Rattus norvegicus: one gene and its partners. The protein of the gene in region 1 interacts with the protein of each later gene in a pairwise test. Links are inferred from orthologs where the notes say so. Each region holds a gene or a part of one and is shown in the gene's direction. Other genes may lie near its edges.

Region 1 (4,126 bases):
AGGAGTTGAAATGTTTTTCCTGTACACTGCCAAGGACTAATAAAAGCTATGCCCAAGACCTTCACAGAGTAGCAAGGGACTTGATTGGTTTAATCTGGTACATCAAAAGCAGAGTTGAAGGGCAGACTTTTGGAACAATAAGCAGATCTCGGTTGTGACTGGTGGTGAAAGCCCTGGATTTCCGGCCTAAAAACCAGAGATTTTTAGTTCCAGCTGGGCGTCCTCTTACACAGCTCTTTACAGCTGAGGAATTGCCTGCTGCAGGACTACAGGACATGGAAGAGGAATTGCTGCAAAGTACTTTTTGGGCTTTAATACCAGTCTTGTTTGGTTCTGCATGATGTCTTCTCTGTAAAAAGCAGAAGGTAGAATTGGATGGCATTCAGCATTTTATATTTTTTTAAATTCTTATTCAAGCACAGCATAATGTACTATTTATATTTATTTAATCCCTACAGTGTAAACAGCCTGTATTACAGATGAACAAACTATGGCTCAACCGCACGTAGTCCTTGTTATATAATTAAAAGCTAAGTACTAGAGCCCCGAATATATAGACAACACTGCGGTTATCCCTGGTGCCCTTCAGAACACTAGAATGTTTCCAGAAACAATAGTGAGCCAAGTAAAACTATTAACCTTGCTGAAGATTAGTCCTGCTCCATATTTAACAAAGTAAAAAAACCAGGTGTCTTTCTGTGTAGATCACATTGGAATTCTGAATTCTTTTGCACCATCCTTCCTGCTGGTTACATGGTATTACAGGTATGTGCTCCTACACCTGGTTCAGAGTTTTGATGTCATAGAAGGCATTTTTCCCCTATTACATTTTCAGTAAATTGGAGTAGAGCTTTGTGATAGGGTTCTTTTGAAATGCTGAGGTCTCTGCCACCAACTTCATACATTTACCCTAAATCATTCTATTTTGATTTGTTAGTGTTAATCTGTGCTTTTAAAATTACTACGAATACAAAAGGTACCTTTAGAGATCATGAAGACTGTTGTATGGGCAAAGCTTCACTTTGATATTAAAAGAAGGCTGAGTTTTTTGTTTTTGTTAACTCAACAATATGGTTTTGATATTGGTTTTAATCTGTTAATAATGATCAACAAAAACATGGAAGTGGATGGTTACAACTTTCCGAGCTTGTGCACATTGCTTTTCTGGTTTAGTGCCATAGGTTACTGTAGCAGTATCTTACAGACACTGTTCACGGCCAATCAGAAGCAGTGAAATTACCTTCAGTTTTTTAAATGGAACTCCATAGCCAATAGAAAATCCTTTAGGTCGGAAATGTAGCGACCCTTTCTTTCTTTCTTTTTTTTTTTTTGTTTTTTGTTTTTAAGAACAATTCTAAATTTGCCCTCCCCTGTTTTAGAAGCGCATGAGACCATATGTGTCTGCTCGTGCATTTGCTAAATATTTCCGATCCTTAAGTTCTTGTGTTTGAGTGAAGAATCTGACCCCTGTTCTGCTTCTCAAGGTAACTTTAAAACAGGAAGTGTACAAAGGAGGTAACTGATGACGTGAACAGCCAATCATGGCTTTGTATTCTTAGCTGATAAAGCAGCTTAGCCAATGGGACTGCTTTGGAGGCAAGGTTTGGTGTCAAATAGCAGGCTAGATTGAATGCCTTTGACTGTTAAAGTGGAAGGAGGCTGCAGGGCTTCATTGGAGCCTCAGAGTTTTTCACTGAGGCAGGGGTCAGCTGAAAGACAAAGAAAAATGGCGAATAGTTTGCTGTGGGGTGGGAGGACAGCTGTTCGGGTTTTCACTGGAATGAACATTCCAGACTCAGGTTTCTACATCTTCTGCTGCCTTTTGTCCTCCGGTCTTTTTTTTTTTTTTTTGGGGGGGGGGGATAGGAGTGACTTAAATTCTCCCTGTCCGAGGAGATATAAATAACTCCATGTAAAATTAATGCAGTTCTCGGTAAGTTTAATTCTTTGTTTTGTGTTGAGATGATAAAGACTATTTAGCTTCAGAGAGTGCAGACAAGTTGCACTGTTTCAGAAAATGGCCACTTTACATTCCGTGCATACCTTCTTGTGCACCTAGATTACCTTGCTCTGTTAGATTTTGCATGTCCTTCAACTAAGCTTTTCCTAGTTTAATATCAACAAGACAGATGCAAAAAGGGCTAATTATTTTTCCTGGGCATACAAAAGCAAAGCACTTTGTCTTTGCATTGGGTAAACTTAACTGTTTTCCAAATAATTTTCCTTTGTTCAAGTGCACTGAAGCTTTTCTACGGAATAAGATGAGTTTTAAGAGTTTTTTTTTTTTATTTTCATGCACTTTGTTGACATTAATGTTTCAAAGATAGAAGCACATTATCGTTCTTTCACTTGCTTGAAAATATGATTAACAACTGATGCAGGTTCTAATGGGGGAAGGCCCACATGCCAGCCTGAAAATTCTCTTGTAACTTTCTTGATCTACTTATCTGCCTCTGCATTTTAATAAGAATCAATTGAATAAGTCTAAATTGTAAATTGTTCATTTTGGTTTAATATGCTGATCAGTTTAGAGTCCAGTTAATATTGGAAGTGAGAAGCTTATCATGTTTTTGTCAGCTGTTGATTTGGTTCTTTAAAATGATTTAAGCAAATGCCTTTGTTTCCTGTATGAAGTATATAAGGGGCTTACCTGCAGTTTGTGACTAGAAAAGTTAAGTGTATAGGTAGCCTTTTGCCCTTGATATTTACCCCCTTTAATGATAAGAAGCTTACGTAGATTGCTAATCAGTAACAAGTCAGTTCTTATGAGTAGTCAAATCATCAGTCCTATGTACTAAGATCTGTAATATCCCTGATTTTTTAAAAAGCAATTCTTTGTTTTTCTCTTTATTTGGAAATACTGGATGAAGGTCATTCGAACATTCCTGCTGCAGATCAGTGTAGAGCAGTGAGGCAGTAGCAGTCCCTGGACAGGGAAAGGAGCAGGCCTGGCTGAGGAGAACTTGGAAGGTGTTGGTCTGCCTTCGATTGCTTCCTCTTGAGGGAAGGTTTACCTGAGAGGATCCATTGGGGTTTAAGTTTAGATATGTGCAGCTGGAGTGAGTGGGATAACAAACAGCCCAAGTTCCTGGATGCAGGCCTCCCTCTGCCGCTGCTCTGAAAAGTGACCTTGAGGAGTTGAAAGATTGAAGGACAAAGTTTGTTTATGCAGATTGGAACTGAAAAGCTCTCTTAAGATGAAAGACTGTAGTTCTGGGTGTTCTAGTCCAGTGGTTACTAGGAATCTGTTATAGTTCAGATCAGGAGTTTTTAAAGGAGTAATAGGTCTGCATTCATTCTCTTCTTCCCCTGTCTTTTTTTTCCTAACCCCAGCCTCAGGAAAATTTTTCTAACTCTTTCTGATATGATAATTGAGTGAATTATCTAACAGATTCAGAGTTCCTTGCATGCCATCCTGTCACCCTTGTAATCTAAAGGGTTCTTAGTGGAGAAAATGGTATTTCAGGAGTTCAAATAGTTGTATTTGTGAAGCTCCTCTTGGAGGATTGGAAGGTTGATGGTAAGAAAATATTAATTTGGGGGAATTTTAAGTTCTACCAAGAGGAGTTTGTGTTAAATATTATATTTTAAGTGATGCTTACTTATTTTGTATAGGCTGTTGGTATAAGTGTTTTAAGCTGTAAGTATGATTTAAAAAAAAAAAAGATACAGGTATCAGTGACCTTTTTTGCTCTGAGAGAGGCCTGTAACAGAGGGATAAAAATGAAGTTGGAGAAAAAGGGAGGCTGAGGTAAAGCTCCATATACTCTAGAACTTTGTGGAGCTGGTTGCTTAGAGTATGTAGCCAAGTTTACCATCTTTTTTCAGGCACACCCCTGCAAAAGCCTGAAACAGCTAACATAACATTCCTGCATGCTCAATGTTGAATGGCATTTGTGGACCTCCTCATTTGATACTTTGTTGAAAGACGTACAATCTCCTCTTCATTTAATACATTAGACTTGAAAATATTTTTAGACAAAAGAGGTAAACTTTATATGGTAAAGAGCAAAAAGCCTTATGGAATTAACCATAACTCAAACTGGAAGTGTTAGGAGAGAGAGGTGAGGGGGCAGGGAGGCTTGGATAGAGCCTAACACCTAGACCTTCTGGTGACAGACAGTAT
Region 2 (4,315 bases), on another chromosome or scaffold:
CCTGGTCTACAGAGTAAGTTCCAGGACAGCCAGGACTACACAGAGAAACCCTGATTCAAAAAACAAAAATAAAATACAACAACGAGGATCGGGGTTGCAGATATAAACAATTTAGACAGTGTCTCAGGAGTACTCACAAGCACTCTGTAGATAAGATTCTCATATGTGAAAGTTTCCATATAATAACAGCACAAAATGCCAAGCCACCCAGGTAACAGTCACCTAGGCCTTAACTTTACATCTAGACCTTAATATTTTACCTAAGTCTTAACACATCTCAACCAAAATTTACTTATTTCGAAGAAGAAATTTACTCCTTATAATCAAAGATTAAACTTAGTAGCACTGATAGTGAAGAATGTATGGTTCCCAGGAAGCATCTTGAAGAAAATGTTGAAGATAAAAATTACTCAAAGGCTGGTGTTCTAGGTCAGTGCTGAAGCTATGTCTAGTGAGGCAGGTAGGAGGGGACAATGATAGTCTCCTGGAAACCAAACATCTTAAATTATTGCCAACAGCCCAGCTGCCAATCTGTCTACAAAAAATTACGATAAACTAAACTGTACACGTTGGCTTAAGTGCCTTAGCCCTTTCAAAAGTTACAACGTCCCACTATTTATTAATGGGACCGTATGTGAAGTTTTTTGGTTTTGCCTGTGTTTGTGTTTGGAGACAGGTTTCTTCAGTGTTGCCCTGGCTGTCCTGGAACTTGACTTGCTTGCCTGAGCGTCTCATCTAAAGTGCTGGGATTAAAGCCATCTCCTGGCTGAGCTTTTTTTTTTTAATAATATAATTTCCCTGATGAATGTGGCACTAGTTATTAATAATCACCCGGAAAGAAGCAAGTATCAGACTCGCTTGAGATAAACCAATTTTTTTTTTTTTTTTTTTGGTCTTCTCTCCAAAAGCAAGTGTGCAGAGGGCCATAGCTCATGGTAGGCCAAACTCACAGCTTTGGATCAGACTACTAATTTCTGATTTAGCCGTTTGTGCTACGGAGGGTAGCCACTTATTTGAAAGCTTCGTTTGTTTTTTTTTTTTTTTTTTTTGTCATAAATGAGCACAGGGAGTTCCGATCTGAACGCTGTTAAGCAGTTACAAAGGCCTTTTTCCCCACACGCCGGGATATGCTCCTCTCACTCAGTGCCCTAATTCCGACAGCTAAGGACGTAGGAAAAGGAAGTTCTTCGGTAAAGACCAGGGCTGCTCCGCCACGTGGCCCTCCGATGGCCCTTCGGCCCACACATCCCTCCACAGAGCAGGCGAGCTCCCCTAGGGCCTGATTGAGGAAACGCGGGGACGCAGAGCGCGGGCAGCGACGGGCGGAAGCTGCGGGCTGCCAGCACCGGCGGTTCCCGCCCGCCCGGGCGGGGTGAAGGGCGGGGCGAGCACTCGGAAATCCGTCGAGGAGGGCGGGTGGGACCCCGGGAGTGAGACTTCCGGTGGCGCAAAGCGTGTCGGGATCAGCTTGCGGCAAACCTCCTTCCCCGGCCCGTAGAAAGACCACCGTTAGCGCCGCTTCTGCTCCCACAGCCTGCTCTCGGCCAAACGCTCGGTCGCGGCGACTGCCGCTGCGGCTCCCGCTGTTTTCGGCCCTGTCCACTTGGTTCCCAGGCAGCCAGCGTGCGTTCAGCTGCGGCTTCGGCAGACATGTTGTGAGGCGGCGGCGCGGGTGCCTGAAGGATGGTTTGGCCGAGGCGGCTGCAACCGCTGCTAGTGGCGGTGGCCGCGGGGGCTCCGGCTCTGTAGAGCCGACCCTGCTGTGGTGCGTCCGCCCGGTACTGCGGCCGGGCGGGTACTCCTCGGTCTTGCGTGCGCCCCCGAGCCGTTTAGGTTCGGTTAGGCGACAGCGCCAGTCCGTTTGAGGCGACACGCAAGGTGGTTCTTGAGCCCTGGGAGTGGTGTCCCCAGAGCGAGCCCTCAGCCCCCTGACCTCTCCTTCATATCCGCACTAAAATCTCTCACACAGTGGGTGTTCCCTGCCCTCGAGCCCGCTCCTTCCTGGTTTCTGCTGCACTCTGAGCCTCCCGGACCCCGACATCTCTCTCCAGGGACAGCCTGTTGAGAAATCTTCGTGGAGTGGTGGACTAGAGGGAGGACTTTAAAAGTTAGGGCTTGAAAGACAGGAAGGCACGATGGCTTCCTCGTCTGGCAACGACGATGATCTCACTATCCCGAGAGCTGCTATAAATAAGATGATCAAAGAGACTCTCCCTAATGTCAGGGTGGCCAACGATGCCCGAGAGCTCGTAGTGAACTGCTGCACTGAATTCATTCACCTTATATCTTCCGAAGCCAACGAGATTTGTAACAAGTCAGAAAAGAAGACAATCTCACCAGAGCATGTCATCCAAGGTAAGCAATTTGTGTGGGATTTAATTTAAATGAAGGTCCAGGCTAATAGAGTCACTCCTAGTGTCACGGAGCCTTCATTCCACTTCACTAGTAAGTGCAGTTACCTTAAAATACCTATGTAGCATTCTTCGGACATTTTCTTCATCCAGCTAATGCAAGTAAGAAGTACAAACATTAGGGTCAGCAAACATCCACAACATTTAACCAGTACAGTTTCCGATCAGGTCTTTAAGCAACAAGAATTGACTGCCTACAGCTAAACTTGGATAGTAACAACTGAGAAAGGAACCTCAAAGTTCTCTCTTGGGAAGTTAAATTTTAGAATTTCAAGCACGAGTCGAGTCAGAGAGTATATCTCTTCCCCACCTGTGCTGAGGAAAAGATTCATTTTGAACACAGGGGTAGAAAAAGTTCTTTGGCTGTGAACGGAGGTCAGTGGTATATCATCTACCTAGCATGCACAAGGGCCCTAGGTCCGAGTTTAAAAAAAAAAGTTATCAACATGAGTATGTTCATTGTTGTAAAGTTAATTTCTTTCCAAAAAGTATAATTTTTGCTTTACAAAACGCTGAGGTGGTGGAACAGTTATCACCAGGTAACCGAGTGCCACATTTTTTCCTTTTTGACTTCCTCCAACTATTGATTGTTCTTTGAAAATTATTTGTAAAGGGTGGCTGGGGCAGGGCGGGGACGACAGTACTCGGGCTTGAACCTAGGGCCTGACACATGCTAGTCAGCATTCTGTTGCTGAGCTGCCCAGCCTGTCCTCTGTCCTGCTGCTCCAATTTGGATGTGTCTATGCGTTTAAGCTTTTATGGAAAAACGCTTCTAAAGGTTCCCACAGTTTCTTTCTTACGCTGGAAAGGATTTGGAGTTGGGATTTTGTTTTGATGATTACAGGGAAAGGAGACGAAAGTTGCTTTTGGCAAATTTTGGGAAATACTTTCTGTGGCTTTTCATGAACTCTTATGAGAAAGTTGCATTCAGTTTGGTAAATCACTTCTATTATAAATCTATTGAAAATGAGGACAACTTCTTGATTACTTTTAAGGTTAAAAGGAACAAATTTAATCATATTAGGCAGGTAGTTCGTTGCCATTTTATACATTTAAAAATTTTACTTTCCTGTTGATAGAGAACATATCTGATCATATGGAACATAACCATTTTGCAGTCAGTATTGACAAGAAGGTCACGTGTTTAATTTTTGAGCCTTTATCCTGTGCTGATGGTAGATTTAAAGCACACCTTGCTGTGATGAGGGGGGTCTCAAGGCTGAGTACTTAGCATGGCAGAGGTCAATCCCAGTAGGTAGTAAGAGTCGTGATGATTGATAGATGTGTGTGTGTGTATAATCATATCACATGCACATATACTCTGCCATTTCAGCACATAGCAGATAACTAAGAAAAAAGCAATGTTTTTACTTTAGGTTAGGAAAGGCAAGATGCTAACAGGTTCACACTCTTGTTACCTAGCCTGGCCTTAAACTTAGAGCCTCTTCGTGCAGTCTCTTGGTCCTGGGATCATGGACATGTAACTACCATTCCTGCTGCTTATTTGATTCTTTGGTGTGTACATGCTGAATGAACTTGGGGCCTTGTGTGTGCTGGGCAAGCAATGTCCTGCAGAGCTATCTTTCCAGCTGACATACTTGATTCTTAAAACTAGTATTTTTTTTTCCTACTTGTTTGGTTTGCTGAGTGGTAAGAAAAATGGAAACCAAGTGTTTTGGGGTTTTTTGGTCTTTTTTTTTTTTTTTTTAGTTTTTTTTTTAGTTTTTAAGTCTCTTAGAAGATATTTAACAAGTAGCTAACATTTCCTTTGACTTTTTGTGAAGGAATGGAAGAACCACCTTTTGTCAAGCATCAACTTTTTAATGAAACTGCAGATTTCTGTAGGACCTGCCTAAACACTTGTTTGTACCACAGAAGTGGTGATTGTTCCAAAAATCTAATAA
Region 3 (3,646 bases), on another chromosome or scaffold:
GTCTGCAGTTCAAGTTCCAGGAGACCCGATATCCTTACACAGACAAAACACCAGTGCACATAAAATTAAAAAAGAAGATAGTAAATAATTAAAAATGGTAACTGTTCTAACTCTGAGCTACTGTTCTGAAGGTCAAGGATGAACCGGACTCTCCCCCTGTGGCACTGGGCATGGTGGACCGATCTCGAATTCTCTTATGTGTCCTCACCTTCCTGGGTCTCTCCTTTAACCCCTTGACTTCATTGCTGCAGTGGGGAGGGGCCCACAACCCTGACCAACACCCGTACTCAGGCTCTGGCCGCAATGTACTGTCACTGGAGTCAGGTAGGTGGGTCCCCCTAATGCTGGCTTGGGTCAGGGGGACTGCTGTGACAAAGGACCCTGTGTAAAAACTACATGATATCCCTGCCTAGTCCAGAAGTAAGAATGGGCTTCCCACCGGCTTGCTGCTGATGGGGGCCAGTCTACGTTATATGTGAGAAGACAACTGAAGTTTGTTGGGACAAGCAAACCAACCTGGAACTTGCTTTGTTACAGTTACTGTGGGCAGAAGTGGGTGGGAGAGATGGGGAGGCACTTGTTGGAGGGGATGTATAGCATCACGTCAGGTAGGAGATCAGTGTCCTAATTTCCTCTTAACTGGGGTATGTGTCCCACTCGGCTCCATGGTACCAGGGTATAAAAGGGTGTAGGCTACAGAAGTGTCTACCATTTCCTCTGAAAATGACACAGAAGGCTCTTTGATGTCACACTCTGGAGTCTGTTAGGTGCCTTGCTGTCCCACAAGGCTCTTCCTGGTAGTCTCAGCTGAGACGCCCCTCTTTAGGTTCTGGAGGCTGGTTTGACTGGATGATGCCGACTCTACTGCTGTGGCTGCTAAACGGTGTGATTGTCTTGAGCGTCTTCGTGAAGCTGTTGGTCCATGGGGAGCCAGTGATCCGCCCACACTCACGCTCCTCGGTCACCTTCTGGAGACACCGGAAGCAGGCAGACCTAGACCTCGCCAAAGTGAGTTCTGTCACCCGCCTTTCTTCTATCATTCACTTTCATCCTCTGTGCTCAGGGAATGTTGTTGAGTCCCCAGTGTGAATCAGTCCTGTGGCCTGTGCTGGGTGACTGAGGTGAGGAGGAGGCCCTGTACCTACAACAGCCCCAGGGCGATGAGGGAGGGCATCCCTGTGCCCAGATCATGCTGTGGACACAAAATGACCTCTGCAGTGGGTCATATAAGTGCTATGAGTCTGGGGCTGTAGGTGGTGCTGTTCTGGTCAAGAAGGATGGGCAGGCGGGCGGGCGGGCAGGCAGGCAGGTCAGGGCCTTTCAAGCAGATGGTGTCATGAGGACTGTATTAGCCACTTGTCTCCTCACTGTGACCAAATACACAGCAGAAGCAACTTAAGAGATATTATTTGAGCTCTTAGTTTCAGTTCCTCTTAGGGAAGGCTGTTGGCCATTCGGTAGGAGCTGGTGGCGTGGAATCTCATGTAGATCTCATGCAGATCAGGAAGCACAAGTAGAGATCACTTGCCAGAGCTGCTCCTATCCGTCCGTTTATGTCAGCCAGGCCTTAGGCCCTAAGCTTCCACAGCCAGCCGAGACAGTACTACATGAGCCTGTGGGGGCATTCACATTCAGACTGCAGACAAGTAGACACACTGAGGATATGTGTGTCTATGTCAAAGGAAGATGGCAGTGACGGCTGGTGGTGTACCTAGTCGCCGTGTGCAGAGAATTTTAACTTACAGCTGAGTTAGGGGTTTGGTTTTGTTTTTTTTTGTTTTTTGTTTTTTGGGGGTTTTTTTTGGTTCTTTTTTTTTTTTTTTTTTTTTTTTTTTTTTTTGGAGCTGGGGACCGAACCCAGGGCCTTGCACTTGCTAGGCAAGCACTCTAACTCTACCACTGAGCTAAATCCCCAACCCCTAGGGTTTTTTGTAAAGGCTTATTTTTATTTGTGTATGCTCATGTCTGTGTGAAGGTATATGCACATGAGTGCAAGTGCCCTTGGTGGCCAGAAGAGGACATCAGATTGCCTAGAGTTGGAGTTCCAGGTGGTTCTGAGCCTCTTGGCATGGATGCTGGGAACCGAACTTTGATTCCTCTGGAAGAGCATCAAGTGCTCTTACCCTCTGAGCTATCTCTTCAGCCCTCTGAATTAAGTTATTTCTAGTTCTCTGGTGAATCAGGGAAGACATTTGAGCAGGAAAATTAGCTGAACATTTTTATTTGGGATCACTGTAAGGAGAGATTATGGGGTAACATTGAAGGGGTTAACCATTATGCACTATTGGAGTCAGTGTGACTCAGACCATCCCTGAGCCATAGCAAACCCAGAGCTTAGTCCTTCTGCAGGCTGACACACCTGAGTTACCCCACACACACCCCAGTCAGTGCCCATAGCCCCAGGGTCCTAAAGCACAGGTGTGATGCCATATAGTAGGTCACAGTATTGTCCTAGTCCTAGAGACAGATTTAAGGGCATTTGAAAACTGTCATTCTGGTGGCCATGTGAATAGGTTAGGGAAAGGAGACACTGAAAGATACAGAAACAAGTTAGGAGGTTCTTAGAATGGGTGGGATAAGAGAGAGGGAGACCTGGAATTTAACAAAAAGGTAGAATCGAATAAATATTTTGAGACACAACTTAATTAACAATGATGTTAACTCAAAGGTGGGAAAGGCTGGAAGAGCTGTAGGGCTCTTTCTAGGCCGTTGCGTCTAGGCCTGGAAACGCTCTGACGCCTTTGGAACAGTGGCCAGGAGGCAACTGCTGGGAGGGCTGCTTAGAGTCAGTGCTAAGGGAAGCTACAGTCTTACTGGGAGAAGAGTTGGACTGGTTGAGGCAAAGAAGCAAAAGCCAGAGACAGCCTGCAAAACACATCTGCCATCTTTGGTCGCCATTGATAACCACGGTCAGCTGGGCACCATCCGCTCCTTAAATTAGACCCTCCGCTCAGCAGAGATCCTGAATGGGGGGAGTTTAGTAATATAGCTGTGAGTTTGCCTTAAAGCTGTGATTCTTGGGCCTCTATAGGCCACTGAATCACAGGCTACAATCCCAGAGCTGTGACTAAGCAGGCCTGAGGTCGGGCACCACGGACTTCCCCCATCCTAAGCACACACGTTACCTAAAGACTAGTGCTTATTTATAAAAGCTGCTGTGACACCCGGGCGATGGCAGCACTCACCTTTAATCCCAGTACTCAGGAGCACTCTGAATTCGAAGCCAGCTGGGCTGCCCAGAGAAACCCTGTCTCGAAAGACAACCAAACAAGCTGCTTTGGAGACTCCCGCACTTGCTCAAAGACAGAACACAGTGCAGGTTAATTTAGTAGAAAGGCCAGGGAGTCTTCAGAATGTCCACAGTGATTGTGTAGGGTGAGGTGGCTGCTTTTTATGTTTTTGTATCGTTCCAGCATGTCTCAAATTTTCTTTAATGGAAATTGTGTTTTACTTTGCTAACAAGCGTGCTTTATTCTGATAAGGAGATGGTCAAGTAGAAGTGTGTTAGAACCAGAAGGCAGCGGTAAGGCCAGTGACCACTACTCCCACTTGCTGCTTCGTAGGGTGACTTTGCAGCTGCTGCTGCCAACCTACAGACCTGCTTATCCGTTTTGGGCCGGGCGCTGCCCACCTCCCGCCTGGACTT

Evidence for each region.
Region 2: the proteins of Nfyc (region 1) and Dr1 interact in binary tests that used the Homo sapiens proteins (3 or more experiments, as listed by UniProt). The link is inferred for Rattus norvegicus from reciprocal best matches to the Homo sapiens genes NFYC and DR1.
Region 3: the proteins of Nfyc (region 1) and Srebf2 interact in binary tests that used the Homo sapiens proteins (3 or more experiments, as listed by UniProt). The link is inferred for Rattus norvegicus from reciprocal best matches to the Homo sapiens genes NFYC and SREBF2.

What each region holds. Positions count from the first base shown.
Region 1 is NC_086023.1:139,677,055-139,681,180, reverse strand, and holds the start of Nfyc (nuclear transcription factor Y subunit gamma), read left to right. Parts: upstream 1-1,296; 5' UTR 1,297-1,484; exon of another isoform or gene 1,485-1,933; intron 1,934-4,126. UniProt on the Homo sapiens protein: Component of the sequence-specific heterotrimeric transcription factor (NF-Y) which specifically recognizes a 5'-CCAAT-3' box motif found in the promoters of its target genes.
Region 2 is NC_086032.1:1,611,756-1,616,070, reverse strand, and holds the start of Dr1 (protein Dr1), read left to right. Parts: upstream 1-1,514; 5' UTR 1,515-2,135; coding exon 2,136-2,355; intron 2,356-4,315. UniProt on the Homo sapiens protein: The association of the DR1/DRAP1 heterodimer with TBP results in a functional repression of both activated and basal transcription of class II genes.
Region 3 is NC_086025.1:115,574,277-115,577,922, forward strand, and holds part of Srebf2 (sterol regulatory element-binding protein 2), read left to right. Parts: intron 1-131; coding exon 132-324; intron 325-826; coding exon 827-1,008; intron 1,009-3,563; coding exon 3,564-3,646.